Linked DNA regions of Alligator mississippiensis. The protein of the gene in region 2 purifies or fractionates together with the protein of the main gene of each other region. This does not show direct contact. Links are inferred from orthologs where the notes say so. Each region holds a gene or a part of one and is shown on either strand. Other genes may lie near its edges. The genes, in order: RMND5A, SKI, HDAC3 and SIN3A.

Region 1 (7,447 bases), on a different chromosome or scaffold from region 2:
TCTATCCTTTGCTCTCCTTCAGATGCTCCAATGCTGCTTTTTTCTGCTGCTTGGTCTTTCCAAACAGAACTGTGAAGTGACACTTTTCTTTTTGGTGCCACCGCTGCTTACAAGCTTCTATGAACATTACCAAAGCTCTTATCCATTCCCAGTGTGCTCCTGTTTGAAACCCCCCCCCTGCCGCAGCAGTGGTACTACAGAAACATGGAGAAAACAGGGTTGAAAGGGACTTCATGAGGTCATCCAACCTCTGCTCAAAGCAGGATCATCTCCAACTAAACCATCCCAGTCACATACAGACTCATGAAGTTAACAAATGCACAATGGAAATGACCATGTAATATCTTCACGGGGATGTCAGGAAGCATAAATCACACCTTTGGAGGTTTTTAGAGCATTCAGTGACTATTGCAAGTGAGGGTCAAAGTGGTGAGGGGGCAGATAATCTCACTAATATTACATGTTAGTAGTTTTAATCTGTAACCTCAAAATAGGCAGAAGCCTGGATGGAGGAATCATAGCTTTTGGCCTCCTCGCTCACAGCTGCCTGCCCCAGTCCATGAGCATGAAAGTCCCATCACAATGTTAGAAGTCAAAAGCACCAGCCTGTTCCAAGAAAGAAGCTGCTAATGAATGATGATACAAAGGAATGTGGTGTTGATTATCCAAAATCAAGCCTGAGGTTTCTGGCTGGAGGCACTGCTGCTGCGTGGCATCCCAGTATCCTTCTCAGCGGCATGAACCCAAGTGGACTTTCTGCAGTTTCCCTCCTATAACCCCACCACCTAGGCAGAGGTTGGCAACCTTTTCAGACTATGAGCTGGTGTGACCCAGTTCCACTCAGACCCAGGGAAAGTACCCACAGCTAGCGCTTCTCTCTGTAGCAGCATGGAAAAGCAAGTGCTGCTGAAGCCCTCCAACCACCAAAGGCTGCCAAAGCCCCATGTCTACAAGCCAGATCAAATGGCTCTGTGGGCTGGACCTGGCCTGCAGCCATAGGTTGCTGACCTCTGACTTAGCTAGTTCCACATGCTTAGCCACAGGCCGATATGCCTCCTTATAATTGCATTTCTAGCTGCATGTATACAGCAGGGCTCCCCAAAGCTCTTACCTGCCTCCTTGCTTGCTTCACATATTGAAGCAAGTCCTTTGCTTTCTCTTCTTGAAGAGGTACCAACCTGGGTCCCCATTGCACAGCCCCTATCACCCCCTTCCAAAAAGACACCACATTACTGAGCACATCCAACTGATCAGAGGTAGCCACATCCCATCACTACTCTCTCCATTGCTTCCACAAGCTCTCACCTAACCCAATTGTTCCCATCTCTCCCTTCCTGAGAGATGGCATTGAAACTCTGGCTAGGATTCATCACCGGCTATGAATACCAAGCAAAACCATGGTAAGAAAAATCTTCCATGAAGAAAACAAGAGGAATGTTAATAACAGGAAATGATGTATTTGAAAACTTGGATTTTTACTATTCTACATTATCCCTAAAACAAAGCTGTTCAATGAATCCTAAATGCAAAGCTGGCATGACTGGCTATCTATTAACAATGAACCATAGCAGCAATTGTGACTTAAAAAAATGTCTGCTAGACCATACGTTACCTCTACATCTGCACCCTGAGCATCTTCTTCCAAGACATCTAAGAATTTCAAGGTGGAAATGGCTTTATGAATATCAAGTGTGTCAACGTAGTCAGAAGGAGAGTCATTATCCACACTTGCTTACCAGAAAGAAGCCCTCTATACTGAAAGATGAAAGTGATGTTCAGCAGGGGGGGCTAGCAGTCTATTCTTAAGTTTACTTTGAACTGCCTTCTTTTCTCCAACTGTGCTTTCTACCTCTACACTGGTCTGTGGAAGAGTCAAAACTGATATGACAATAATCTCAACTAAATAAGAGTGACTCTCTCAATTGCCGTTCTTATACTAGTGGACCATAGTCCAGATTCTTCTGTGGTTGTTTCTTGCCACTTCACTTGGTACAGATTGTTCCCACTATTTCTACACAATTAATTTTTTTTTCTCTGGTCATCATCTTTGTGGGTAAGATGAATATATGGCTGCCTATACATATGCTTTGGGTAGCAGGGGGTGCATTTTAATTAGAGCAGTTCCCAGACAGCTGTTCTAATTAAAGTGGCTTACCGTCACGTGTATTAAACCCCCGCATTTTTAAATGACCACAGGATGCTTTATCTAAAGCTCATTTGACAAGGTTTAGATAAAGCGCCCCTGTGGTTATTTTAAAATGTGCAGGGGCTTAATATACAGGATGGTAAAGCAGCGCTGGAGCATTGTCATTAGAATGCAAAGCAGCCTCGATTAATCAAGTCTGCTCCGATGCAGTCCAATTAGAACAAGCACCTGTATAGGCAGCCTATGGCTTTAAAGAGTTTTACTTGGAGACAGGAAATTATTTTGTTGAAGGACCTTAACATCAACTTGTAACTTTTGTTTAAACTGCAAAAGGTGGGGCAGGGGGAGTTTGGAAATCAGTGGAATAGTTTGGAATAACTTCATTTGATACAAGGGCTGAAGGGCTTGTCATAACATTTCAAACTCATAACTAAGGTGAGGGCTCGGTACAACATAGCAACAGATGCCTTTCACCATGGAAGGACAGTGTCATATCAATAAAAAAAACTGACATCGACTCCAGGTTATCTAGAGCAGTGGTTCCCAACCTTTTTAGACCGTGGATTGGAAGTGACTGCAGACTGGCAAACTGCGGACCAGTATACTGCAGTCCAGAAGTGACCGGCATACTGCAGACCAGCAGCCAATCCTTTTTTATACTCAGTATACCCTATAAGAAAGTGTTGGCTGCTGGTCACAGTATGGTGGTTACTTCTGGTCCGACAGCCAGCCCTCCTGTGGATCGGAGCCAACCTTTCGCAGCCACGGGCCAAGGGTTGGAAACCTCTGATCTCGAGTGGATTCAGATCTCTTGCTGATGCACCCAACTTCAGCCAGCACTGCCTTCGCATGTGGCTACTGTGGTCCTTAACCATTTCATAAAGAGAGTCTCTCTGCAGCTGGGATCATTTCAAAACGTGATCTCGGCTTATCCCATTGGTCCCATACTCGATCAACTCAGCTGCCTCAAACTCTAGTAACCTGTCTGCCACTTTGGCCTGAAGGATGCTTCTCCATAGTTTCGTAGATGTTAGTGCCTGGAAGGGACCTTACAGATCATCGGGTCTGGCCCCCGCTGCACATGGGCAGGAAAGACCGCTGCGGTGAGATGATCCCAGCAAGGTGGGCATCAAAATGCTTTTTAAAGATCACCAGGGTGAGTGGCTGTACCACTTCTGCGGGGAGCCTGTTCCAAACCCTTGGCCCTTGACTTGTAAAAAGTATGTATCTCTCTCGTCACATGGCTAAGATTTCCAAGCTGCACGACCCTCCCAGCGGTCAACATGTATCCGAACCGAAGATTCATAGGTTGTAAGGGGGCAAAAGAGACCTCGGAAGATCACCGGGTCCAGCCCCCTGCACCAAGCAGGAAAGACAACTGGGGGTCAGCTGACCCCAGCAAGGTGACCGTCCAGTCTCCTCCTGAAGATCTCCAGGGTAGGTGATCGCACCACGTCTGGAGGGAGCTCATTCCACAATCTGGACACCCTGACTGCAAAAACGTTTCTCCTAACGTTGAACACGTTAACACCACGTTCGGCAGCGCTGCCTCCGCAAAAGCACGGACCCACCGTTCAGCCCGGCCTGTCTCAGGCGCGTTGTCTGTCCCGAGTCCCACCGACAGCGTTGCCAACTCGCGTGATTTTTGGCATCGCTCTTAAAGTTTACACTTGAGGGTTGCGAAAAACATAGCTCTTTCTTTTATCTCTATATAGAAACATAAATACACCTAGATCTTGAGATATAGATCAATATGTAGAAAGAGATCTAGATCTAGAGATCTCCATCTAGAAATATATAGAGATATATAGTTAAGAAAGAGAGATAAAAGAAGGATGTTTTTCACATTCCCAAAGCACAGACTTTTAGAACAACACGAACCATCATGAGAGCTGGCAACACTGCACCAAGTCCTTGCTGCTCAACCCAAGCAGCTGTCCATCTTTCCTGCAAGGGGAGTTAAAAAGAGAGGCACAGCAAGCTTGGGAGCTGCGTCCTAGACAGGCAGGCAAGAAGAAGGGGAAAGAGAAGCTAGTGCTGGCCTGAACCGGGCGCGCAGCGAGGAGCAGAGACTGCTTGGACTCACACTAGCACCATGCTGGCCAAGGACCCCAGCCTAAGCTACCCGCCGCATTGCCTGAACAGCCCGCCATCAGGCCCCCAGGCTGCCCGCCGCGCTGCCTGCGCAACCCTGCGCGCGCATGCTCCATGGAGAGAGGCCGGTTTAGCCTCGGAACGAGCCAATCCGCCGCAGCTTCACCGCAGGACCCCGGCTGCCCGCGGCGCCGCCTGCGCTCTCCGCAGGACCCCGGCTGCCCGCGGCGCTGCCTGTGCGACATCGGGGAGGAAGTTCCGCCAGGCGTCCGGGCCGGCGGGGCCCGCGGCCGCCATGGACCAGTGCGTGACGGTGGAGCGGGAGCTGGAGAAGGTGCTGCAGAAGTTCGCGGGCTACGGGCAGCTGTGCGAGCGCAGCCTGGAGGAGCTCATCCAGTACGCGGGCGGGCTGCGCCGCGAGATCCTGCAGACCGAGAGTACGTGCCCGGGGTCGGGCCCTCGCACAGCGCCGGCCGCGGGGGTGGGCGCCTGGGTCTCTGCGCGGCGCGGCGGGGGGCTGGGGGTCTCTGCCAAGCACAGCGTTGGGGGTCGATGCGGTGTTTCGTATTGCAGGAGTCGGGGGAAAGTGCCGGGCAAGCTTCTGGCCCGGCGAGGCTGCGCTGGTCGAGACGGGAGACCCCGAGGGACGAAGGGAGCTAGAAGTGCGGTTGGGGGGCTTCCAGTCTCTGCACCACACACGGGTTATTCGTAGATAGATTATGAGGGGCTGGGAAGGACCTTGCAGATCATCGGGTCCAGCCGCCCCTGCTCGAGGCAGGAAGGCAGATGGGGTTAGGTGACCCCAGCGAGGTGACTGTTGGGGTTGGGGTCTCTGCGGAGCCCCCGGCAGCAGGCGGGGGGCTCTGCATGTCTCTGAAACATGGCAGCAGGTTTGGGGGCTTTAGGTCTCTGAAATGCACAGCGGCAGGGCTGGGGGCTCGGGGGCTCTCTGGGACAAGCAGCAGCAGGTTGGGAGCGTTGGGTCTCGGTGAGCACCCAGCCGCAGCCTGGTAGCTTGAGGTCTCTGAAACGCATAGAAGCAGGTTGGGGCCTTTGGGTGTCTCTGAAACAAACGGCAGCAGCTTGGTGGCTGTAGGTCTCTGAACTGCACAGCGGCAGGCTTGTGTTTTTGGGTGTCTCTGGAGCACCCAGCAGCCAGCCCCGTGGGGCCTTTGGGTCTCAAACAGCAGCAGGTTGGGAGGCTTTGGGGCTCTGAAATGCACAGCAATAGGCCTGGGGGCTTTGGGTCTCTGCTGCATGCTCAAATTAAAGCTGGATAGAAACCAGCTGTAGAGTTGCTACACATTTTCAAGCACTAGTTTCATAGCTGGTTGGCTCTTTATGTAGCTTGGTAGTCATTTTTATGGTGTAATAATTTGCACGTTTGACCACTCTAAATTTATTGCGTGATTCACTGGTTAATTGCGTAATACATGGGCTGTGTAGCAGGGGCCTCTGAAACAGCAGCAGGGTTGGTGTTTTTGGGGCTCTCTGAAATGAATGGCAGCAGGTTTCATTGCTTTTGTGTTTCCACGGCAGTTCGATTTTAAAATGTTTTGGCCGCAGGTTGTTTTTTTTCAGTGGATGGCAACCTCCACAGTGTGTTTCTGTGACTAAGATCTGGTACTGTCAGAGCATCTTCACAGCTGTTTGTAAACACGAGCCACTTAAATCTTGCAGCATCTTTGCAAAGTAGGTAGCTATCATCTAGGGAGGGAGGGATGGAGAAGGAGTGGTGAGATGAGAGTCCCAAGTGATTTGTTCAAGCCATGCAGGAAGCAGGTGATAAATAAAGAATTAGTAACTGGGATTTCCTGGTTCCTAGTCCCATGTTAAACAACAGCCTGTGGCATTTCTTTGTGCTTTTATGGCGTGGTTTGTAGTCCCAAGAGAGCTGTGTACTGCACAAGTGCAGGAGTTTGATTTTATTTACATATGTGATTATGGGATTGAAAATAGCATACATCCGTGCAGGTATTTGTTGTTGTCCAGTCCTGCCTGGACAGTGTTTTCATTCTGTGAAGAGGCTTTCTGGTGGCAGAAGGGTGAAGGTGTCATGCTGTGGCCCTAGAAGTAGAAACATGAGCTTTGCTCTGTACTCCTCACACCTGTCCTTTGGCTTGGGTTTCAAAGGCAGCTGGATGTGATACTAGTCACCTCCATCTTTTGTGGGCCCTTGACTACAGAGCTCTGTGCCTGAACTCTAGCAGCTAAAGGGGCCACTTGGATCTTCGGCTTCTTTGTAAACTTAAAGGGTTTTTGGAGCCACCATTGTCATCTGTCAAAATCTCTTCTGGCCCCACAGTTTTCAAGGGTTGGCGCTTCATATATTCCCAATGGCAGCCTTCACCAGTGTTATGAGATGCCAGAGAGTTTTTTTGAGAAAATGCTATTTTAATAGTCCCTCAGAGGGTTTTTACAGTTTTTTTAGGCAGGTATGAAATGAAGCTTAAATCCATTCATTTTGTTCATTATTTTATGGGGCCAAAGTTCAAATAAACTACTTTGCTATATGGAGTAGTTTGGTTAAATGACCAGCACTTGGTATTGGAAGGACAGTCAGTCAAATATGCCTCTTACAAACAAAGAGCTTGATTCTGAACTGAGATGAGAGCATTTTGCGTGTAGAGGCTCTGGATGAGTTAGTGTACAGCCGTAGAAGTGTGCTGGCAAGAACCCTTCGCAGAATCAATGCCTAATGCATGGACCATAATCAGGAAAGATGTTTTTATGTGTTCACTCCCTTCTGGGCACCCACTCTGCAGTGTTCATAGAATCATAGAAGTCGGGTCGGAAGGGACCTTGTAGATCTTCAAGTCTGACCCCCTGCCTGGGCAGGAGGAAAACTGGGCTCAAATGACTCCAGTCAGGTAGGCATCAAGCTGCTTCTTAGAGACCCCCAGGGTAGGAGCCAGCACCACTTCCCTAGGAAGTTGGTTCCAGATCCTAGCCGCCCTGACTGTGAAGTAGTTCCTATGGATGTCTAATCTAAACCTACTCTCCAACAACTTGTGGCCGTTATTCCTTGTTATCCCGGGGGGCGCTAGGGGAAACAAGGTCTCCCCCAAACCCTTCTGGTCCCCCCTAGTGAGTTTATATACAGTCATCAGGTCCCCCCTTAGCCTTCTCTTGTGAATGCTGAACAGGTTCAGGTCCCGTAGCCTCTCATTGTAGGGTCTGCCCTGCTGTCCCCGGATCATGTGGGTT
Region 2 (7,965 bases):
CTCCAATTTGTCGAGGTTACTCTGAGTCCCAGCCTTACTCTCCAGCGTATCTACTAATCCCCCCAGCTTGGTGTCATCTGCAAACTTGCTGAGGGTACACTTTATGCCATCTTCCAGGTCACTGATGAACACATTGACCAAAACCAGCCCCAGGACCGACCCCTGGGGCACTCCACTTGATACCAGCTTGACATGGAGCCATTAATTACTACTGTCTGAGCCCAATGCTCCAGCCAGTTTTTTATTCACCTTACAGTCCATTCCTACAAGTATGTTGGGGGAGACCGTATCAAAAGCCTTGCTAAAATCAAGGTACACCACATCCACCCATCTCCCTGCATCCACAGAGCCTGTGTGTGTATGGTGGGGTGTGGGGGTGTGTATGTGTATAGTGGGGGGTGTGGGGGGGGTTGTGAGGGAGCGTGGCTGTGTGAGGAGGCAATAGGGTATGTTGGGGGAGTGTATGGGGGTGTTGGGGCAGGGTGTGGGTGCGTGGGGTTTGTGGGGTGTGAGGGAGGGTGGGGGTGTGCGGGGACCCCACACACTTCCCCCATGGTGCACAGCTCCACCCCCCCCAACGGCAGTACCAGCAGGTGGGGTAGCTTGGGTGCTTATGCCTGGTGCAGGCGCTGCTGCCAGCAGTGCCCAGCTCTGGCTCTGGCCAGCACTGCATGTGGGGGCGAGGAACGCAGCCTGGCCAAGCCGCCTCTATTGCGTGGGGCCAGAGCCGTCCTTAGGGGTATGTGGGGCCTGGGGGGGCAGGGTGGCAGAGCTGGCAGACTGGGGGGTGGCGAACAGCCAAAGTCTGCGGTGGCACTTGACAGTGACAGAGCATGGTGGCCACAGCAGGGCCTATGCAGCACTGATTGCGGGCCCCCCCAAAGCGAGGGGCCCCAATTTGCCCCCCCACCCCAAGATGGCCCTGTATGGGGCTCTGTACAGCACACCTGCAGCTCCCACAGCCACACCACCAGGGGAAACCCCATGTGATGGAGCCAGCTGCCTTCACCACTCCCTGCCATGCAAGTCCTGGGACACTGTGAGGAAGAAGGGGCCAGGGCTCTCCTCCACTTCAGCGGAGTCCTGGGACCTGTGTGCCAGGGAGCTGTGAAGGCAGCTGGCTCCATTGCATGGGGCTTCCCCTCATGCACAGGAGTGTGGGAGCTGCACATGTGCCTCGGGAAGCAACCCATGATAGAGGCAGGCTGGCCTGGCTGTGTTTCTTGCCACCACTTGCAGCACTGGCCGGAGCCATGTGACACCAGTAGCAGCACCTGTAATGGGCACTGCACCTCGAGTACCCCTGCCTGCTGCTTCTGCTGCTGTTGCCACTGGCTGGGGCTGTGTGCCATGGTGGGGAATGTGTGGGGGGTCCCCACACCACCCACTGCCTAGGTGATGCGTAGGGGGTCACGTGCCCCTCCTGAGATTGGCCGCCACCGGCTTCTGTGGACAGTCGCTGCTCGCCATCCGCCCCACCCTTGCTGCCAACAGCCGCTGGGACTTGTGGGTCGTCCCCACTCACCACCCTCCCTCCCCTGCAGCCAACACCACCACTGGCGTCTACGGGCAGTCCCCACTCGCCAACGACACCACTGCCAGCATCTGTAGGCAGTCCCCACTTGCCACCGCTGATATCACCGGCAGCGTCTGCAGGTGGTACCCACTCACTGCCATGGTGCCCCCCCAGTCTCAGGAGGCACCAGTTATTCATGCTCCACCATCCCTCACGACCACACCCTGCACACCCGAGCAGGGCTCTGCACTGCTGCCAGCCCCAGCTCCAGCTCCATGCTCCTGCCCAGCTGCAGCTCCCACCCCCCCTGCTGCTTCCCCACCTGGTGCCTGGAGCAAAAGGGATGCCAGGGAAGCTGAGCAGGTCCCTTGGTGGCTGTAGCAGCGGCAGCAGCAACGCCGCCCAAAAGGTGCATGCTGGTTGGGATGGGCCCTTCTACCTGTGAGGATGGGAGTGAGGTGCAATAGAGTATGTTGTGGGGGGTATATGTGGGCACCTCACTTCCACCTTCATGAGTGGAAGAGCTGGGTGGGTAAAATCGGTGTTCCCTCTCAGCTGTGTGGTGTGCACGGCCGTGCGGGCACGCTCATGCTGCACTGCCAGGCACACCTGTGTGACCGTGCTTGCCGCACAGCTTAGAGGAAATGCTGGGTACAACTAGTTGGTGGGCACCCGTGGGCCAGATGAAATTTCCTGGCAGGCCATATTTTGCCTGCCCTGGTCTACCTCCATCCTCTTGGGAACCCCCCGCCCCTTTCAGGAAGTTAAAGGCTACTATCAAATCCCCCCTCAGTCTTCTCTTCTGCAGACTAACTAAGCCAGTCCCTCAGTTTTTCCTCAGAAGTCATGTCCCCCAGCCCCTGAACCATTTTCATTGCCCTCCGCTGGACTCTCTCCAATTTGTCCACAGCCTTTCTATAGTGAGGGACCCAAAACTGGGCGCACTACTCCAGGTATGGCCTCACCAACGTCACCATGTGAATAAAATACCAAAGTTACGGTGTCCCCAGGTCTCAGACAAACCTTTTCTTTTTCTTGTTTCTTCTTTGTTCTTTCAGACTTAATTCATTTGGAAATTAGCTTGTCTCCCTCCTTTCCAGTCTCTCATACCCCCTGTTCTCTCTTGTTCTATACTCACATTATAAAACCTCTGGGACTGGATCTTTCTGTCCTGTATTTACACAGCCCCTGGCACAGAGGGGTCCTGGGCATGAGCAGGGCTCCTAGCTGCTACGGTAACACTAATATTTCATAATCTTTTCTGCAAAGCTTGTGGTCCAGCCTCCTCTTGCCTGTGCATTGGATTTAAGGGAACATGTTGATTTAGAAAGATGGTGAAAAAAATTGATGTTCTTGCTTTAGCTTTGAAACTTGCTTCTCCTGTTTGTATTTAGAGCTGGTAAAACAGTAAAAAAAAATAAAAAACTGATTAAAAAAAATGTCCAATAATTCTAATTTTAGGTAATTCACTGGGGGGGGGGGGGGAGAGGGAGGGAAAGAAGGGAACAAAATGGCTTTGCATTGATTTTTAATTTAAATATCTGAAAATCTAGTTTGGAGCAAAGGTGTGTGTGCAGGCACGTGCACGTGTGCATTTCCCCACCGATGCGTCTAACGGAGCCGGACAGACTTGGGTGAGGGGAGGATCCGGGGGAAACCTTGGTGTTGGGAGAAGCGGTCCCAGGCCCTCGGGAGGGGGCGCTCGTGTCCCCGCGCCGCCAGCAGCTCGCCTCACGCGGCCCCGCGCCGGCACCACAAGCGCGGGCGGCGCAGCCCCGGCGGGGCGCGCTCGGGCGGGGGGGCGGCCGCTGTCCCCGCCGGGCACGGCCCTGGGCCTCACCTGCCCCCTGGTTTCCCTAGAAGATGCACACGTGTGTGTGTGTGTGCGCGTGTTTGCGCTATGCAGAGCCGGGGGGGGGGGGTGTCTGTAGTTATAGCACACAACTCGCACACCACCTCTGTGTGTGTGTTTGCACTGCGTATATCCGGGGGGTGTGCGCGCGCGCGTGTGGTATAGCACCCAGCTCGCACACCACGTGTGTGTGTGTGTTTGCACTGTGTGTATTGGGGGGTGTGGTATTGCACCCAAATCACATGTGTGTGTGTTTGCGCTATGTGTATTGGGTGTTGGTGTGTGGTATAGCACCTAAATCACACGTGTGTGTTTGCGCTATGTGTATTTTGTGTGTGTGTGTGTGAGGTATAGCACCTAAATCACACGTGTGTGTGTGTGTGTGGGGTGTAGCACCCAAATCACACGTGTGTGTTTGCGCTGTGTGTATTTTGTGTGTGTGTGTGTGAGGTATAGCACCTAAATCACACGTGTGTGTGTGTGGTGTAGCACCCAAATCACACGTGTGTGTTTGCGCTGTGTGTATTTTGTGTGTGTGTGTGTGAGGTATAGCACCCAAATCACACGTGTGTGTGTGTTTGCGCTATGTGTATTGGCGGGGGGGTGGTATAGCTCCTAGCTCGCACAACGTGTGTGCTTGTGTGTGTGTGTGTGTGTGTGTGGGGGGTATAGCCCCCAGCTCGCACAACGCGCTCGTGTGTTTGCGCTATGTGTGTGTTGTGTGTGTGGTATAGCACCCAAATCACACGTGTGTGTGTGTTTGCGCTATGTGTATTGGCGGGGGGGGGGTGGTATAGCTCCCAGCTCGCACAACGTGTGTGCTTGTGTGTGTGTGTGTGTGTGTGTGTGGTATAGCCCCCAGCTCGCACAACGCGCGTGTGTGTTTGCGCTATGTGTGTGTTGTGTGTGTGGTATAGCACCCAAATCACACGTGTGTGTGTGTTTGCGCTATGTGTATTGGCGGGGGGGGGTGGTATAGCTCCCAGCTCGCACAACGTGTGTGCTTGTGTGTGTGTGTGTGTGTGTGGTATAGCCCCCAGCTCGCACAACGCGCGCGTGTGTTTGCGCTATGTGTGTGTTGTGTGTGTGGTATAGCACCCAAATCACACGTGTGTGTTTGCCCTATGTGTATTGTGTGTGTGTGGTATAGCACCCAAATCACACGTGTGTGTGTGTTTGCGCTATGTGTATTGGCGGGGGGGGGGTGGTATAGCCCCCAGCTCGCACAACGTGTGTGCTTGTGCTATGTGTATTGTGTGTGTGTGTGGTATAGCCCCCAGCTCGCACAACGCGCGTGTGTGCGCGGTGTGCGGTGCCCCGTGCCGTGCCCGGGCGGTGCGGAGCCGGCGGGCCCGTGTTTGTGCTCCGAGGAGGGGTGCGGGTGCGGGTGCGGGTGCGGCGGGCAGGCCCGGGGAAGCCCCCTGTCCCTGGTGGCGGGGCGGGGGCGGCGGTCGCGGCCGGGAGCCGGTCCCATTCTTGGCCGCGCTGCAATGAGCGAGGCAGACACCGACACGCAGCGGGCGCGGGCGCGGGCGCGGGCGGGGGCGGGGAGGAGGCGGCGGCGGAGGCGGCTGAGCCCGGCGCATTAGCTCAGCGCCGAGGCGCTCCAGTCCGTGGCGGGGAGCGGAGCGGGAGGACGTGCTCTGCTGCTGCAGCTCCCCGCGCGCACCACAGACGCGAGAGACCCGGAGCGCCTCCACGCCCAGCCCGGGGAGCCCGCCCGCGGCCCCGCTGCGTTTCCGAAGGGCAAGAAATTCGGCCTTTTCATTTTATCCGCACGCTTTCCCTCCTCCCTCCCTCCCCCCCTCCCCGTCTACGGACCGAGCTCGCTTCCTCCCGCTGCCCCCCCTCGCTGGCGGCGGACATGGACAGGAGGGAGCGCGCTGCAGAGCAGCCGCCGCCGGGGCGGATCTGAGGCGGGCGCGGGGCGGCGAGGCTGCATGAAGACCTCTGCCGGCCGCACTCTCCGCCGCGCCGGGGCAGCCCGGGAGCCGTGGGGGCTGTGAGCGGGCACGAGCCGAGAAAAGAGCAGCAGCACACGAGGACTTCCCCCTCGCGAGTGGATTGCCGGAGCAGGGCGGGGAAGGAGAGAAAGAAGCGGGGGTTGGGTTGTTTTGGGTTTTTTTCCCCTTTAATCCGTTCAGTGGATTGCTACCAGGGTGGAAGATCAGCGGGGCTTTTTTGTTGTTGTGTTGTTTTGTTTTGTTTTGGGAATAGAAACTAAAAATGGAGACTGTAAGTAGAAGCAGCTTCCAGCCTCATCCAGGACTGCAGAAAACCTTGGAACAGTTTCATCTGAGCTCTATGAGCTCCCTGGGTGGCCCTGCTGCTTTCTCCGCACGATGGGCCCAGGAGATGTACAAGAAGGACAATGGCAAGGACCCGGCGGAGCCCGTCCTGCATCTGCCCCCCATCCAGCCTCCCCCGGTGATGCCAGGCCCCTTCTTCATGCCCTCGGACAGGTCCACGGAGAGGTGCGAGACCATCCTGGAAGGGGAGACCATCTCCTGCTTCGTGGTGGGGGGAGAGAAGCGGCTTTGCTTGCCCCAGATCCTGAACTCGGTGCTCAGGGACTTTTCCCTGCAGCAGATCAACTCGGTGTGTGACGAGCTGCACATTTACTGCTCCAGGTGCACGGCTGACCAGCTGGAGATCCTCAAAGTCATGGGCATCCTGCCCTTCTCTGCCCCCTCCTGCGGGCTCATCACCAAAACCGACGCGGAGCGGCTGTGCAATGCCCTGCTCTACGGGGGCACCTACCCGCCGCACTGCAAGAAGGAGTTCTCCAGCACCATCGAGCTGGAGTACACGGACAAGAGCTTCAAGGTGTACCACGAGTGCTTCGGGAAGTGCAAGGGACTCCTGGTGCCGGAGCTTTACAGCAACCCCAGCGCAGCCTGCATCCAGTGCTTGGACTGCAGGCTCATGTACCCACCGCACAAATTTGTGGTCCACTCTCACAAGTCCCTGGAGAACAGGACTTGCCACTGGGGCTTTGACTCGGCCAACTGGAGGTCCTATATCCTCCTCAGCCAGGATTACACTGGGAAAGAGGAGAAAGTTAGACTGGGCCAGCTCTTGGATGAAATGAAAGAGAAATTTGACTACAACAACAAATACAAGAGAAAAGCACCCAGGGTAAGTAAGTGTGTCTGTGGGGGGGGGTTGTTTGGGGGTTTTTCTCCCCAGTTTTTTATTTGAAGACCGAGATGAGGGGGGCCAGGAGGAGCCAGACTGCGATTTCAGACTTGCACTGAGATAGAAAGGTCCAGGGCACCAGAGCTGCTGTTAAAGCCATGCAGCAGTCTGTCATGCTGGAAAATCACGCTGTGTGTTCAGGTGGGGGAGAAGCATTTAAAGAGAGCACTTTTTTTTTTTTTTTAGCTGCAAGCTGAAATCGGTTTTCTTGTTAGAGGCTTTAGGTTTAATTTAAAAACAGATTAATTTTTGTCTATGATTTAGGGGCCGATCCTGTGGTCCTTGCAAACTCTTACCCCCTCCTCCTGACTTTAACAGGGAATGGAAGTGGTGTAAGGACATTGGCATCAGAGGCTGAAAGTGGGGGGAGGTCAGGGCAAGGAAGATGGACATAAAGTAAGAGGAACAGACTTGTGGACAAATACATAAAACCCTCTTAACTGAATAGCTCTGGGAACAGGGGCTAAATTATCTCTGCATATATTTGGACTAAAAGTAGCTGCTTATAAGGTTGCATAGAAAAACCCTGATGATAAATGAGTATACTAGTAGTGCGTGGTATGTGAATGGATAAGACTCTGGCACAGTGGTGCCTGGCTCCTGCCACCAGACTGGCTTTTGTGTATTGGATTATGTAGACAGTCAGTGAATGGATGTCTCGAGTCAGCTGCAGCAGCAGCCTCCAAGGTATGCCATCCGGGTTGAGTCTGCCCATGCACACAGCTAGAGCACTTTTTTTTTTTTTCCGGTGGCTTTTTTCAGGCTGAGCAGCCTGTACATCTCAGCATCCCCAGTGCGTGGGTGGAAGGCTGCCTTGGCACCTGGCACCAGTCCTGATCAATGGGCAGCAATGTTACAAGGGCCCTGAGAACTAGCGCACAGACACCAGGACGTCTGGCTGGCGATGGTGTAATTGGCTGTGGGATGAGTAAGACGCCCTGTGCTCGCTCTCTTTTTTTTTTTAACAAACAGCCCCCCCTCGACTTGTCTTGGCTTTTGTTTTTAACTCCTTCTACCCAATACTCTGTCAAGTAAAATTGAAGGGATCTTTGAAAGCTTTCCTTGCTGGAGTTGGAGAGGCCAGGATGGACGGAGCTGGGAGCAAGCTCTCCATTCTCAAGAAGCAACAGCGATTTTGCTGGTCATGGATTTACTCTCTTTAACTTTCTAAAGGTTCATTTAAACACACACACTTTTTTTTTTCTTTAAAACTATCTAGGTTTTTTTAGATACCTGGATATTAGCTATAGTAAGCTGACCTAGGGAGGCCCAATTCCTTGATTTTATTGCCTCTAACTTATTTTTAAACCATGAATAGACTCACCCTCTTTCTAGTCCCAGTTTCCATAGTTGTCTCCCACTCATCCCCCCCCCCCGTTTTCCCACAGCTGGAGTGTCA
Region 3 (7,985 bases), on a different chromosome or scaffold from region 2:
AGCTGGCAAGAAACCAATCATTTAAAAGTTAAGACATACATTCTCATGAGATTTTATATGTTTGTATTTTTTCACATTTTGGTTACATAATTATGCGATGGTAGCATTAAAACACAAGTGTAATGGGTATATAAAGGTGAGATATTTACAGTATATGAAGTTTAGCACATTTAATGTTTCAGGAATGATTAAAAAACCCATTGAGATGTATTGTGTAGGCCTACTGCTTTATTTTAATTGCAAGAATCACTAATGGTATTCTTAGACTTTTACTTGAGGCTAACAGTATGGCCTGTATTTTTCTTGTAGTGGTTTACTGTCATGTAAGTACAATGTAAAATGTATATTTAAAAAAATAGTCAAACAAGAGTCTACAAGACTCTTGGTAATCCTTCCATGTAGAGGTGACCTGAGCAGGGTGCAGGACCTAGGGCAAATCAGCCCATGCAGGGCCCTGCCCCTGCTCTGATCCTGGACCTGAAGAAGCCGCCGCTGCCATTGGTGGTGGTGGTTGCAACGGGGATCAGGGGGGAGCAAGTAGCTGGAGGCAGAGTCGCCGCTCCGCCCAGCTCCATGCCACTGCTGCTCTGCCTGGCTTTGTGGGGGCCCCCAAAGTGCAGGGCCCGGGGCAGTCGCCCTGAGATTCACCATCTCTCCATGGACAGCCCTGCTTGTGTGACATTTTGGATCTGAGCTCCAGGCAAGCAGCAGACTTCCTGGGACAACAGTCAGGCCAGCAGATGGATCCCTCTGTCCCCCGTAGAAGGAAGTTTCCAACCACCATCCATTACTTCCCCTTCATAGCAGTGCTCTCAATCTTCCCTGCCTTTAGGATTCCTGCCCTGGCCTCTTCCACCAATGGAATGTGCTCCCCCTTCTCTGTTGCTAGGACTCTATACCTGTTTTCCAGGCAAACCACTGCATGTGGGGATGGTGACTTCTTGCTGCCAGAAGATACAAGCTTCCAGCTTCCATCTTCCTGGGAGCTCATGGCCTCTTCCTTTTCTAGCACTACATCTGGCAGTCCATCCTCCAGTCCTAGAGGTTTCCTCCAGCATAGAACTGATGAAGTCCTCATGGCGGAGGCTGCTTCAGAGCTCCGTTACCTCGTCTTGTAGCTCTCTTGCCTTCTCCCTGAGGGACACCACTAGAAGGCACCACTTACAGTGCAAGCACTCCTCCACCTGGCTGACACTAGAAGGAACCTGTAAGCTGCAGTCTGTACCACACCAAACCCGGACCTGAGTGGAAGCCTCAACAGTGTATGGTCCTGCCTGGACAGACACCTTGCAGGTGGAAGCAGAGGAAGAGCTGGAAGTGGCAGTAGTTCTGGTATTACAACATCTTCCAGTCATGCTTCCTGGTCTTCTAATCTGCTGCCTCTCATTTTGTGCCTCTCTTTCCAACAAACCTTCCCCAGCAAACTCTGCTGTAGTTGGCCTGTTTGCTATTCCTTGATCTGAAGGGTTTCCTTTTCCCTGCAACCTCTTTCCTCTCAGCCAGCTTACAGTAAAGGAACGTGAGAGAGAGTTTCCAAACAAACTCCCCCTCACTCTGGACTCTAACTAAACAAGGGGCTTAAGTCTTGGTCTAGTCTCTTGCAGAGTTTTAACTGCTAAAATAAAACTATCTAGTTAGTCCGCATTATATATATGTATAAAAAAAGAATCTTACCTTTCAGGCTTCTCGTCTAAGAGAGGGATGGCAAACTACCTGAAGGGTGGTTCCAAAGAGGATAGAGCTAGACCAGGGCTGGGCAAAATATGACCCGCGGGCCGGATCTGGCCTGCCAAGCCATTCTATCCGACCTGTGGGGCCCCTCAAAAATTTAGAAAATTAACATTTATCTGCCCCTGGCTTGTGTCAAAGATGACATCTTGTCGCTGCTGTGGTAGTGTGTGACAAGGAGAAGGTGGTGGCGGCTAAGCCTGTCTCTTCCTTCTCCGCTGCAGCCACGCAAGCCCTGCCAAGCAGTATGGGGACTGCATCAATGCCCCGGGGCCAGGAGTGACAGGAGCACAGGCTTGCAGGAGTGCTGGCGGGGGCTCTGCCTGCCATGGGTCGGTGGGGGGGGGAGGGAGGAAACAGGCTGTGGGCAAACCCTTCCCCTCCACAAACCACAACCCTCCCCCACACTCTCCCAGGCCCCCACAAAACCCATGCCCATCCCACAGACCACACACCCACATCTATCCACACCCCAACTAATCACACACACAAACACACATACCCTATACTCACCCTCCGACCCACACCCCTCCCACAATATACAAGAGTAAGATTTCATTTTAAGCTTTTATACTATCATCTCGATGTACACTACATAAACGCCTGTAAATCAGGACGAAAATGTTTTTTGAAATGAAATTAATGAATGTTGTAGTACATATTTGAGATTTTTTAGAATATAATTTGGTATTTTTCTGGTTCAGAGATGGCAAAACACCTTGCTGAAAGGAGTTATTCCAGGGTCAAGGGGAGGGACTTCTGATGGCAAAGGTCAGGGAGTGGGACTTCTGGTCCCAAGATGGCAACCAGGGGATCAGGCACCTGTCAAGGGGCGGGCCTACCCATGTGGTCCTCAATGGCTTGCCAAAACTCCGTAAACGGCCCTTCGCCTGAAATAATTGCCTGCCACTGAGCTAGACTGTTCTCAGTGGTGGCAGATGACAGAACAAGGAGCAACAGTCTCAAGTTCCAGCAAGGGAAGTTTAGCTTAGATATTAGGAAAAACTCTCTCACTGGGAGGGTAATAAAGCACTGGAACAAACTACCCAGAGAGGTGGTGGAATCTCCAGCCTTAGACGTTTTTCAGACCTGGCTGAACAAAGCCCTGGCTGGGAACATCTCTTTGGGGATGGTCCGGCTTTGAGCACGGGGTTGGACATGACTTCCCTTCCAACTTTTTATGATTCCATGATGTTAAGAGACTGATCTTTATATTTCCTTATGATTCAGTTTCCCCCTTTGCTTTTTTCTGTTTACAGGTTTTTGGTGTGCTCTGTTTCACTTGAAACGTGTCTTATTTTCCTAAACCCTTTCCAGTTCAGATAAAAGGCAGATGGAAGGAGTCAGGCAGAAGTTTTGACGAATATTTGCCTCTGGTCATAAAGATCCTCTTAAACACTTCTTTAGGCATGGCATTTCCTCACTGTTGAGCACTGGAGGGAAGAGTAGCTTTACTGGGGATGTTAGCTTTTACCTCTGAGTCCAGTCCACCTTTGGGATTTGCCTGCACCAGGATTCTACTGTATGCATTGTCTGAATCTGTGACTTTGAGTTAGAGCTGTTTCTGGCTTACCCCCAATGCTTCTACTGAGCTTTTCTAGGAAGAAATGCTAAGCTCACCTTCATTTATGTATAGCTTTTTCTTTGGCACTCAAAAGCACAGAATCTGAGCAGCTCACATATGCCACTAAATATCTTCAGGGGTTCTCTCTACTAGGATGAGTTGGAATGACCCTTGGGTGTGTCTTTGCACAGTAGAGTCCTATTTCCACAGCGATTCAAAAGGCTGACAGCATTTAAAGCAGTGCAAGTTCCTAATGTAGCTGTTATTCCCCATGTCATTTATCTTACTTGCAATTATGCCCTTCAGCATGTAGCCAGGGAAACGCCCAGAGAACTTTTACCTTTTCTACACAGTATATTTACATTAGTAAGTACACCTCTATGAAGTATATGAAATGCTTGGCTTCACTGCCCACTTCACAAAAATCAAGATATTTTACCAATCCACACCAAGCCAATCAGCTGTTCCTTCGCATATTACAATTAGAGGACAGTCTTTGAAGAATGCGGAGTATCTCCCCTACCTGAATAGCCACCTTTCCCAAAAATACAGACAACATTTAACATCTCTGAAATCCCATCTTTGATGATCATGAAATCGACCCAAACCAAACTCTAGCAGGGTCTTTCCTATCCTGCTGTACGGGTGTGAAACCTGGATGCCATGTTGGAAGCATCTGGAAGCTTTGGAAGATAATTGCTGGTGATGTTTTCAGGAAATTCTCCATCTCAACTGGAAAGAAGAATGAATGCTAGCTTTCTGGATCAAGGAAGCTCTACCAGAATTGAAGTTGTGTTTGTATGACGCTAGCTTTATTGGTTAGAACGTTATAAGGGTGCCTGACAGCCAGCCCCCGAAACAGGTCCTATACTCCCAACTCACTGATGGTCACTGCTCTAGACTCAAATACTGAATCACCCCCATGTACAAGGTATGAAACTCACCTCACTACAGAGGTGGATAGAGGAGAGACACAAAGAGAGAGCTGTGACCTGATCTGCTCCTTCCTCCCAGAGCTACTTCTCATATCTGCAGACAACATGAGGATCTCAGACTGGGCTCCTCAGCCATCTCGGCTCTCTGAGGACTCCCCTATTCACCAAAAAACTATCCTTCTGGTAGTGGGGGGCTGCCAACATTGTTACCTTAGAAGAGCCAGTATCAAAAATCAAAGGTCCACCAGGGCCTAATGGTCCCTCAGACTAGCATGGTTAAGGCGTGCAATGGGGGCGTGTGACTACTTTGTCCAACCTCCGCCAACTCCCAAGCTTGAATGATGGAGCAGCCATCTCTTGCTGGGCTGGGTGGACTGCGTGGGGCGGGGGAGCTGCGGCTCAAGTCCAGAGCAAAACTCCAGCTGGTTTCTGGACACACAGCAGGCCGAGGGCCAGCCCCAAGCGCGCGCGCCCTTCGTGCAGTAATGCAGTAGTAGCGGCTGCCCTGGCACCAGGTCACAAGAGTAAAGGCTTCAAGAACACGCGGAGCAGACAAGACCGAGCTCCTTCTGCAGCAGAGCGTCTCCGCCAGCGCGGGGACACTCCTGGCGCGGCGGCCCGGCCCGGCCCGGCGCGGCACACCGGCACGAACAGCTCCAGCTCCGCGGACTAGCGACCGGCAGGGGCGCAGGTCTGCGCCGGCTTCCTCCAGGCGGGGGCGGGGCCGCAGCAGGGACCGCCCCGCCCCGCCCCGCGCGGGAAGGACGCGGTCTCGCGAGGGCCGCGGGGGGCGGGGCGCCGGCCATGGCGAAAACCGTGGCCTATTTCTACGACCCGGACGTGGGCAACTTCCACTACGGTAAGCGCGGCGGGGCGGGCAGGAGGCCCCGGGGCAACCCCTCTCCGCTGGCCGAGCCGCGTGCGTGGCCGCCTCCCCCGTCCCCTGTCAGCGCCGAGGCCCGGCCCGGCCCGTTGGCCGTAAGCGCCGAGGCGGCTCTGGGGGGGCGCGGGTGGCTTGGCCGAGGCAGGCAGGGCCGGGCTGCTCCTGGGAGGGGAGGGCTGCGCGGCCGGAGTCAGTCGGGTCAGCCCCGTGGTGCTGCGGCCCCTGCTCACTGGGAGCCCCGCGTGTGCCTGACTCACCCGCTCCTCCCTCCGTGTGTTGCAGGGGCGGGACATCCCATGAAGCCTCATCGCCTGGCGCTCACTCACAGCCTCGTGCTGCACTACGGGCTCTACAAGAAGATGATTGTAAGCATCACGGGCGGAGACCAGCAAGACTGGTCTGCTGGGGCTGGTGGTCCTTGCCTTGCGCAGTCTTGTCTAGGAGGTAGACGAAATAGTTACGTCTAAGTGTGCCTGTGAAGTGCAGTCCAGCCTGAGCCATTGTAGCTATCAGTCTAGAACAGGGGTGGGCAAAATACGGGCAAGTGACTGGATCTGGTCCATGGATGCCCCTGTGGCAAATCCCACCTGCTCCTGCTGGCCCAGGGCCAGATCTTGACCGGTGTGCACAGCTCCCAGTGGGGATGTTCCCAGTGCTGCTGCACTTCCCTCACCTCCGGTGGAGCTGCCAGCTGAAGCGTCCCTCTGCTCTTCCAGAGTGGCACAGCAGGGGCGGGAGCTGGAGGCAGGGCAAGCAGAGCAGCACCTGACGAGCTGGAAGCTGCATGCTGTGGGGCTGTTCTGCTCCCCGCATCTCCAGTTGCAGCTCCTGCCCCTGGCACAGCTGTGGACTGCACTGCCTGGGTGAGCTCTGCTGCATGTGCATTTTCCAAGACCTTTCCCGGGGTAGAAGTCAGGCTGATGGGCCTGTAGTTTGCTGGATCCACTTTCCTCCCTTTCTTGAAGATAGACACCACATTGGCCTTCTTTCAATCTTCGGGCACTTCATCAGAACACCAGGAGTTCTTGAAGATCTTTGCCAGGGACTGGGCTATGATGCTAGCCAGCTCCTTGAGTACCCTGGGGTGTAGATTGTCAGGGCCAGCTGACTTGAAGGTGTCCAGCCTCTCAAGGTGTTCCTTCACAAGGTCAGGATTGATGGAGGGCAAGGAATCTCCCTCACCCAGGTCATCCCTGACCACTATGGGACAGGGAGTCCCGTGGGATTGATGAAAGACTGACACAAAATACTCATTTAGTAAGCTGGCTTTTTCCTTGGTGTCGGTTTTCAGTTGTCCCATCTGTTTTAACAGGGGTCCAATGTTGCCCTTTCTTTTTCCTCTGGCTCCCCACTTATCTAAAAAAGGACTTTTTATTGCCCTTGATACTTGTAGCTGGTTGTAGTTCATTTGTAGCCTTGGCTTTCCTCATTCGCTCCCTGCAGGTCCGGACCAATGCGGAATATTCCTCTTTGGAGGTGGATCCCGTCCTCTATTCTTTGTAGGTCTTTCTCTTTAGCTGCAGGAGGTCTGCTAGTTCCCTGGAGAGCCAAGGGGGCTGCTGTGCCCTTTTGCTGCCTTTCCTCCGAGATGGAATAGCATTAGCTTGTGCATCAAGGATCGCTCCCTTGAGGAGCGACCAGTCTTCCTGAACTCCCCTCCCCTATGGGTCGTGGTCCCTTAGGGCTTCACTGGCAAGCCTCCTCAGCTTGTCACAGTCAGCTTTCTTGAAGTCAAGGACTTCTGTGTTGCTGTCTTGCCAGCTTTATGGCAGATGGTGAAGGTGATCAGCTCGTGGTCGCTGTCACCCAGCTTCCCTTTGATCGTTAGATTGCTCCCAGTTGCCAGTATCAGGTCGAGCAGTGCTTTACCTCTCCTTGGCTTGTAGACTTCTTGTGTCAGATAAATGTTGTGCGTGGATGACCTCTACCTTGATTCCTGCATCTAAGCATTTTGTGACCTGGTCATAAAAAGAAACAAGGTTAGTCAGGCAGGATCTACCTGCTATGAATACGTGCTGGTTGCCCTTTAGCATTGCTTTCCCTGCTGGACTCCCACAAATGTGATCCTTAATAATTTTTTCAAAGGTTTTCCTGAGGATAGAGGTGAGACTAATCTGTCTATAGTTACTTGGATCCTCCTTCCTCCCCTTCTTGAAAATAGGGACTGTGCTGGCCCTTTTCCAGTCCTCTGGGACCTGACTTGAGCACCAAGAGTGCTCAAATAGCTGTGCCAGTGGCTCTGCTATGACACTGGCCAATTCCTTCAGCTGCCATGAAAAATGGAGAACATATTTTCTCCATCATTACATTGGATGGGATGCATAGCCATGGCTTGGAGTTCCAGGTTTTGATTGGATGCCAGAGAAAAAAACATTTATAAACAGCTGAGATATTCTAAGCAGCATGCCATGTGGACCACGCCAGTGCAAGCCATGGGCTTTCCAGGCCTCATGCTTTACAGGGAATCCTGCCCCATAACCACTGTACCATGCATGCAGGTGTTCCCTATCCCTCTACCTCAGCTGTGGCCATGGGATCTCCCATTGCATTATGGCCTGCACTGTGCCACCATGGAGCAGGGGCAGGAAGCAGAAGACAGAGGAGGGAGGGAGGGAGAGCCTGGAAATCCTGATAGCAGCTGCTGCTGCAGTCAGAGTGATGGGAGTGGGGGAATGACAGCGAGGGAGCCCAGGGGCCACAGATCAACCCTTTGCAGGCCACCAGGTGGACAGCCCTGCCTTAGCAGTAGCAGTAGCCTGGAGGGTGCTTTAAAGAGTAAGAGCTGGAAGCCCAGGAAGCCTCCCCATGTAGACTGCTGGGAGATAAAGGAGAGGACAAAGTTTTTTTTTCTTTATCTGTCTGCTCTGGGCTGCAA
Region 4 (6,895 bases), on a different chromosome or scaffold from region 2:
AATGATCCTGGATTGAGCATAGGGTTGGACTAGATGACCTCTTGAAGTTGCCTTCCAGCCCTGCTTTTGTATGACTGTCACACATTCACTTAGGGCCTGTCCCTTAGTTGGATGATTTCTCCTCTCACTCTGGCAGCATGAAGGGGTCTGAAAGTGAGTGTAAACAGCCTCCTTGTTCCTGAAGTCTCCCCAGCTGGGGCAGAGCTGGTTTGTGTTATAAACTGGCTCAGCTCCCATTCCTATGCTGGGAACAGATCATGCAGGGAATCTCTGTTTGCTTGGACCCAGGGGAGGTGATAGGATGTATCAAGTTAGTTAAGCCACCGGGTTGGCTTGTGGCTCAGAAGCTGCCTGTGTGCTGAGGCTTGCACATCCTTCAGCCTTCAGTGTAAGTGCGTGTGCATGGAGCAGTAGACAAAGCAAAGCATCATCAGAACAGCTGGAGTTCCTCAGGGCACATATCTGTAATGCCCTGAGATTTGCAGCCTCCTGTGCTGCACTATACACTATCCAAACGTAGACATGTGTCCTGTATGCCTGCCCATCACCACTGTATCTGAACACCCTCTACGTAAATTCAATCAGCAGAAACAAACTAGTAAACTCCTTTGAGTCTCTATCGCCTGTTCAGTTTTGGAAGAAAGGCAACTGGTTGATTCATTTGCTTCAGGGTTCTTTGGCTGGGTCATACTTGATTTGATGTTGAAAAGCGTCACTCAGTTTAGTCTCCAAGATACCGCCCTGCCTTCTGTTTTACTATGGTGGGAAGCTGTTCTACTCAGTTCCCTCAGAGGGACACAGTACATTACTGAGCCCCATACCCCCCAAGATGGAGAGAAGAGCATGTAGGAAGGAAGGAAGGATAGATGGACTTCTAACTTGGGTTAGCTAGCAGACCACTCACTCCAGTAGCTGAATCTAGGCTGCTTCAGTGTATCTGGCTGGGAACCTGGCACAGCCCCTCAAAAACTAAGTCTGGTCAGCCCAGGGGGATGAAAAGTGCTAAGTTGTCCTGCTTAGCAAGGCCAAACTAATAGCTGGGGCTGAACAAATAATTAATTCATCATTGATAAGAGGATTGTCAAAGGTGAAAATGAGAACTGGGCACTTAATTCCCATTCATGTTATTGAAAATCTCCCCTTGGCTTGATTAATTTGCTGCTTTTTTTCTGTGACTGTAAAAGGGTAGCCTGCCCATTCAATGGCCTGAGACTGGTCAGCCCTGTTCAGTTAGCCTTGTCTACTGCACTTAGGATGCAGAAGTCCTAGTGGAAGGTCCCTGGCTGGGAAGAAAGCACAGAGACCTCTAGGGAATGTGTGGCCTGCAGACCAGGAACTACCTGCTGCCTTCCAGGAGACTTGGTCCAGGAGAAGCAGCAAGAGAAGCTGGTGCTGCTGGGCCTTGCCTGCAAAGAAGGGAGCTGCAGGTTGGTCTCAGAGGCCAAGATGACACTGAAAGGAGTCTCCTGTGGTGAAGACTGAGGAGGGCCATCTGTGCCTTTGAGGAACTCAGGAGACGGAGAAAAGATGTGTTCAAGAAGAGGTGAGTGAGGAGATGGCCTGAGGAAGCAAAAAGGCATGGGTGGAAAATTGGCTCTGGCAGTTTTATGCAGGGGTTGTGGTTTGGCACCTAGGAGTGGGAGTGAGGTGGAGTCACTACAGATCAGAAGAAAGACTGTAGGGTACTATCCCCAAGATGGGAGAGGGACTCTATAGAGACTCACTCTGGAGTCTGGGGTCATGAATGAATCACCTGTTGGGGCACAGCAATTGGTGATGAGGAAGGGACATTTGGAGCAAGCTCACCGCAGTGCTCCAGGTAACTGAGGGGCAGAGAGGAGCGCCCACAGTGCAGCATGCGACAGCAAACCACAGTTCTCACTGTTCTTCAAGTTCATAATGTGCTCACTGGTTATGATTGGCTGGGCGAGTCACATGGTAGCATCTCTGTTCTCTGATTGAATGGATGCATGAGGTTCAGTCAACACTTGTAAAGAGTCATTTTGAAACTTTTCTTTCTCCAAATAGTTGAGTATGTGATTGAGATTCAGTCTGTCCAGGCTGACAAGTGTACATCACACATGTTTCTGGAAAGCAAAAACAAAGGGTATGAGCATGGCTGACGACATTGGGACGTAACCTTTGCCCCCAATCTTGGAGTGAGGTTTACCCCTGCCAAATTAAAGCCACTGAATTTTGTCAGTATTTGACAACTCTAATTATTACTAATTAGCACTGATATCAGTCTTTTCATCAAAGTACTTTTGGTCTGCTAGTTCAGTCCTACTTGCGGCGTCCCTGTGAAACAGAGTTCAACCTGATAGGCAGGGAAACTGCAGCACGGATATTACTGCTGTGTTGCTTGTTTCAGACCCTGGGTTTAAGAAGACCCGGGGTTTGTGGCTCCTGAGTTCAGAGCTGTGCGCTGTGCTGAAATACTCCATCTTGTAACCTTGATTTTTAAACTGAGTAATATTCAAAACACTTTGTACTGAGCAGCAGAAGCAGGGAAAAGTGAAGGGAATAAAGGACTGGCCACAGAGATAGTGAGCAAATGGTCAAATTTACACCGTAAACTGGTGTACTAGGGACAGAGGCATGTCAGTTGGGGGCTTGTACCTAAGAAATGCTGAGCCACCACTGGAGGCAGCAAGTTCACTGGCTGACAAAGGTACTCAGCCTCTTCTTACAGGATCATGCCCTAAACCAGCTACAGATCCACCCCTACTGTAACAGTATCATGGACTAGACTATTAGAACATACTAGTGTAACCAACGGCATATTAGTTGTGACCCTGCACTGCCAGGCTTTGTGGATTTCCTTATCCTGGGCCTGAAGTAGGTGGACAGATACACTGTTGCTAACATTGGTGTAGAAAATCAAGGTGCCTTTCCTTTATGGTAGGCCAGGGGTCAGCAACCTATGGCCTGTGAGCTGGATCCAGCCCACAGACATGACACTTCAGAGACCTTTGGCAGCAGGAGGCTTGGACTGCAGGCCCATGGCATAGCGGGGACAAGGAGTGGTGGGAGACAGGTCCTAGTGTCGGCTCAGCTGCCTTTGACCCAGAGTGGGTTGTTCTGGCCCATGGGTGGAAGAAGTTGCTTGCCCCTGCAAAAGGTGCATTGCAGGGAGCCACCTGAAACCCCCCAAATGGACTTTAAGGTCTGCAGGACAGCCCTTGGCCAGTAAGCCAGCACATGGCTTTGACTGCACCCGTGGTGTGGATAAGGAAGGCTGAAGATATCATCTACCTGCATCCCACCATCCTTTAATATCCAGAGCACGTGAAATAAGTCTAGCTTTATTTCCTTCCCTCTCCACTGGAAATGCACAGCAGGCGGCCGACTCTGCATTCAAGCCCGAAGGGTCCCCAATACTGCCGGAGCATTTACACTCCACCTCAGATCCCCAACATCTGCTGGCGCCAAAGCCACAGCCCTGCTCTCCTCACCCACCCACGAGCGCAGCCCCAGGAGCCAGGACACCCCGGCTCTAGCTCCTCTCTGCCCCAGCTCTCAGGCCGCTCCCTGGAAGCCCCGTGCCTCAAGTTTCCCTGGCGGGAGATGGGGGAGAAACACTCCTACCTACCCGGCGTGTTGGAAAGTTTAATGGGGCGTGCTCCTCGAGCGCCCCGGAGCCGGCACCTCCGAGCAGGCGGCGCCCGGCTCCCCAGCCTGGGGAGAGGCAGCCGGAGCGGCCGCGGCTCCGCGCTCGCAAATGGCCGCTCGGCACCGAGCTCCGCCTGCACCAGGGCCGGGGCTGCGGGCGGCGGGCGCGGGGGGAGCCCGGCCCCGGCCGCAGTCGGCCCGCCCCGGCGGGCGGTGCTGCGCTGACGGGCTGGCGGCGGAGGCCAATCCCGGCGCGGGGGCGGTGCCGCCCATTCAGGACTCCCGGCCGCGGCGCTGAGGGTATGTAACAGCTGCTTCCCATTGAGGCTGGAAAATATCGGGCGTTTTCGGGGGAGGGGGCGGGCCGGGGCAGGGGGGGCCGCGGGCAGCGCCGTCCGTCCGGGGCCCGGGCCCGAGGGGGACCGCGCGCTCGGCTCAGCTAAGGACGGGAAGGGAGAGATTAAAAGCAGGAAAAGGGCTTTGCTTTCCCCTCCCGCGCGTGGGGCCGGGGGCGCCCGGAGGCGGGGGCTGTCCCGAGGGGTCGGGGCCGCCGGGCGGTGCGTGCGCGGGGCGTTCCCCCTTGCTTTTTGGCTCGGAATAAACAAAGCGGCGTCGCGCTTCGGGGCCGCGGGTCCAGGCGCTTGTTTGGCTGGTTTGTGCGCGGGGCTTCGCGGGCGCTGCCGGGGGCGGGGGTCTGAGCGCGGCCGCACACGCGGGGCGGCAGCGGAGCCCGGGCCGCGCGGGGCCCCCCGGGAAACTTGTTGGGCGCGAGTGGGTCTGCGGCCGGGCGGGGAGGCGCGGGCTGCAGCTGCCCCCACACCGGGGGGGAATCCCCGGGCCCGACCGCCGCGCGCCCCAGTTGCAGGCGCCCCCGGGCCGGGCAGCAGCCGCGCGGCGCTCTCCCAGCTGATCCGCTCGCAAACATGGAGCTGCCTCTCCCACCCCGCCTCCTCCGTGCTGGTGGGAGGGAGATGCCCGCCCCCGAGCGGAGCTCCCCCCCCCCTTCTCCCACAATCCCGCGCCCCTGCCCGCGCTCGCAGGGAGGCGGAGGCCGGGGCTGGGCTGCGTGTGGCGCCTGCCCGCGGGCACGGAGCCGTGCGAGCCGAGCTCGCCGCCGTAGCGGGTGCCTTCCCCGCCGGACTGCGGGCGGGGCGGGCCAGGCTATGCTGTGCAGGGCACGAGCGCAGCCGGGGCGGGGCAAGCGACAGATCCCGCCCCCCGCGTGCAGCGGCCGCAGCCCCCGAGCCCCGCGCGGGCTCCCGCCGCCGCGGACAAGCTGCACGGGCACCCCTGCCCCGCCGGCTTGGGCGGGATTCGCCCCGCTCCTACTGGCCGGAGGGTTTCGCCCCGCCCCCCCACTATTGGGTGGACTCCCAGCGTGGCCTGGCCCGGCCCATCACAAGGCCCGGCCGCCTCTCGGCTTGCGCTTCCCGGCCGAATGTGGCAAGGCTCCGTCCGGAAGGGGGAGGAGAGACGGGGCCTATCGTTGGCGCTGATTGGCTGGAGCGGAAGCGTCGGCCCGCCTCCCTGCGAAAGGGGTTGGGGTAAAGCTGGTGTCTTCCCCCCCGCGCGTGTAATGGATCCGTCCCACGTGGGCGCCGCTATCCCGGAAGTGAAGCTGCCCGGGAAGGGAGGGGCGGGTTCAGGGACAAAAGGCTGCGCCCGGCAGCTCCCCCGCGCCCTGCCCTGCTCCGGGGCTGTGCGTTCGCGCCCGTCGGGGGCCGGCGGCAGTGGCGCGGGCTAGGCGCAGAGACCCGAGCAGCTGTTGTTCCGGGCCCGGCCCGGCCCGGCCGTCCTCCGCGGGGGGCACCCCAGGGAGCCCCGGGCACTAAACTCCGCCTTTTCACGGCATCCCGCCAGGCCCGCGCCGCGGTCACGCACCGGCCCCTCCTGCGCGTCCCCACTGCCCTGCCTCTGGCCCGCCTCCGTCACGTGGCGGCGATTCCTCAGCGCGGCTCCGGCTGCTGGGCTCGGGACCAGCACGTGGATCCGGGGCTTCCCCTTCCCCGGCGCGGCCCGCTTGGCGCCTGCCCGCCAGCTGAGCCCGAAGAGGCGGGGCGGGGCGGGGCGGGGCGGGGCGGGGCCGAGCAGTAAATCGCCCCCGTCTTTTCCCCCCCCCCCCTTTTTTGGCCCGGGGAGAAGCGGCTGAGGCGGGACCGCGGCTTCCCCAGACCGACTGCGGGGAGCGGGCGCGCGGCGCCACGCCTCGCCCTGGGCGCTGGGTGCCGAGGGGAGGCGGGGCGCTCCCGTCCTGTGCAGCTGCTCGGGCGAGAAGCGACCTGCCGCCGCCGTAGTTGCACCGGCGGGGGTGGGCGAGGAGTGCAGCGAAGTCCTTGGCGCTGGAAACTTCAGCAACAGGCGGCGTCCGGGAGCGCGAGCGGGGAAGGCGGGAGCGCTCCCCGCGCTGTGCAGCGGGCTGGGAGCCGCAGCTCCCGGCGGAGGACCGGCCGCTGCTAAAAATAGCCCCCGTCGGCTCCGCGCGCGGCGGCTTGTTTTCCCTTTATTGGCCCGCGCCGGAGGCTGCGGGGGCGGGCTCGGGCACTCGTAACGCCCGCAAGGCCCGGCGCGTGCGACAGCGAGGGGGGCACCGGCCAGGCTCGGTCCCGGGCCCCGTCTTGCATCCGTGCGCGCCGGCGTCGCGGAGGGCTCCCGAGCCTCTGGACAGCAGCCGAGGGACAGCCCTCCGCGCAGACCCGGGCCCGGGGCGCCTTTACTTTGAGGTCCCGGCGGAGACACAGCGGGATCCGGCTTCCCTCCCACCTCCCGGAGGCGAGGGAAACCCGATGCCTATCCCTGTGCTCGTGAGCGCTGAGCAATGCCAGCCGCAGCTCGGCGGGAACCAGCGCCCCGCTAGGCCCTCCCCCTCCGCAGGGGAGGGCCGGGTGCGCTCCGTAGTCAGGGCGAGCGGCTGCGGCGGGGCCCTCTTGCTTGCTGCCCCCTCCCCGGGCAGCGCGTGGGAACCGCGGAGCAGGAGACGCAGCCCCGGACCCTGCAGGACTGGAGCCGAGCGGCCCGTCCGCGGGCGGGGACCGCGTGGTGCCGGAGGGCGCCCCGGGGTCGGGGCTGCAGCTTGATGCGCGCGGCGAGGCAGAAAGCGCACGTGCAGCGGGGGGACCGGGGGAGGGGAGGGGAGGGGAGGGGAGGGGGGGGACGACGAGGAGCCCGGCCCCGCCCCCTCCTCCTCCTCCTCCTCGCAGGGCAGCGCCGGGGCTGCGGCGCCGATGTAAACATTCCACAAAAGGGCTCCCCGGAGGGGGGGCGGGGCCTCCGCGCCACCGGGAGG

The links.
Region 1: the proteins of SKI (region 2) and RMND5A purify together in Homo sapiens (affinity purification with mass spectrometry; 3 studies listed by BioGRID and IntAct, counting the BioPlex papers as one, with this or other methods). This does not show direct contact. The link is inferred for Alligator mississippiensis from reciprocal best matches to the Homo sapiens genes SKI and RMND5A.
Region 3: the proteins of SKI (region 2) and HDAC3 purify together in Homo sapiens (affinity purification with western blotting; 4 studies listed by BioGRID and IntAct, with this or other methods). This does not show direct contact. The link is inferred for Alligator mississippiensis from reciprocal best matches to the Homo sapiens genes SKI and HDAC3.
Region 4: the proteins of SKI (region 2) and SIN3A purify together in Homo sapiens (affinity purification with western blotting; 3 studies listed by BioGRID and IntAct, with this or other methods). This does not show direct contact. The link is inferred for Alligator mississippiensis from reciprocal best matches to the Homo sapiens genes SKI and SIN3A.

What each region holds. Positions count from the first base shown.
Region 1 is NC_081825.1:14,511,003-14,518,449, reverse strand, and holds the start of RMND5A (E3 ubiquitin-protein transferase RMND5A), read left to right. Parts: upstream 1-4,444; 5' UTR 4,445-4,535; coding exon 4,536-4,677; intron 4,678-7,447.
Region 2 is NC_081836.1:13,628,544-13,636,508, forward strand, and holds the start of SKI (ski oncogene), read left to right. Parts: upstream 1-4,956; 5' UTR 4,957-5,594; coding exon 5,595-6,506; intron 6,507-7,965. UniProt on the Homo sapiens protein: May play a role in terminal differentiation of skeletal muscle cells but not in the determination of cells to the myogenic lineage. Functions as a repressor of TGF-beta signaling.
Region 3 is NC_081832.1:40,854,704-40,862,688, forward strand, and holds the start of HDAC3 (histone deacetylase 3), read left to right. Parts: upstream 1-4,970; 5' UTR 4,971-5,031; coding exon 5,032-5,086; intron 5,087-5,092; exon of another isoform or gene 5,093-5,205; intron 5,206-5,392; coding exon 5,393-5,475; intron 5,476-7,985. UniProt on the Homo sapiens protein: Histone deacetylase that catalyzes the deacetylation of lysine residues on the N-terminal part of the core histones (H2A, H2B, H3 and H4), and some other non-histone substrates.
Region 4 is NC_081834.1:27,956,110-27,963,004, reverse strand, and holds the start of SIN3A (paired amphipathic helix protein Sin3a), read left to right. Parts: upstream 1-3,893; 5' UTR 3,894-3,912; intron 3,913-5,493; coding exon of another isoform or gene 5,494-6,399; intron 6,400-6,895. Other genes in the region: basic proline-rich protein-like, read right to left, coding at 2,076-2,087, 5,494-6,399. UniProt on the Homo sapiens protein: Acts as a transcriptional repressor. Corepressor for REST. Interacts with MXI1 to repress MYC responsive genes and antagonize MYC oncogenic activities. Also interacts with MXD1-MAX heterodimers to repress transcription by tethering SIN3A to DNA.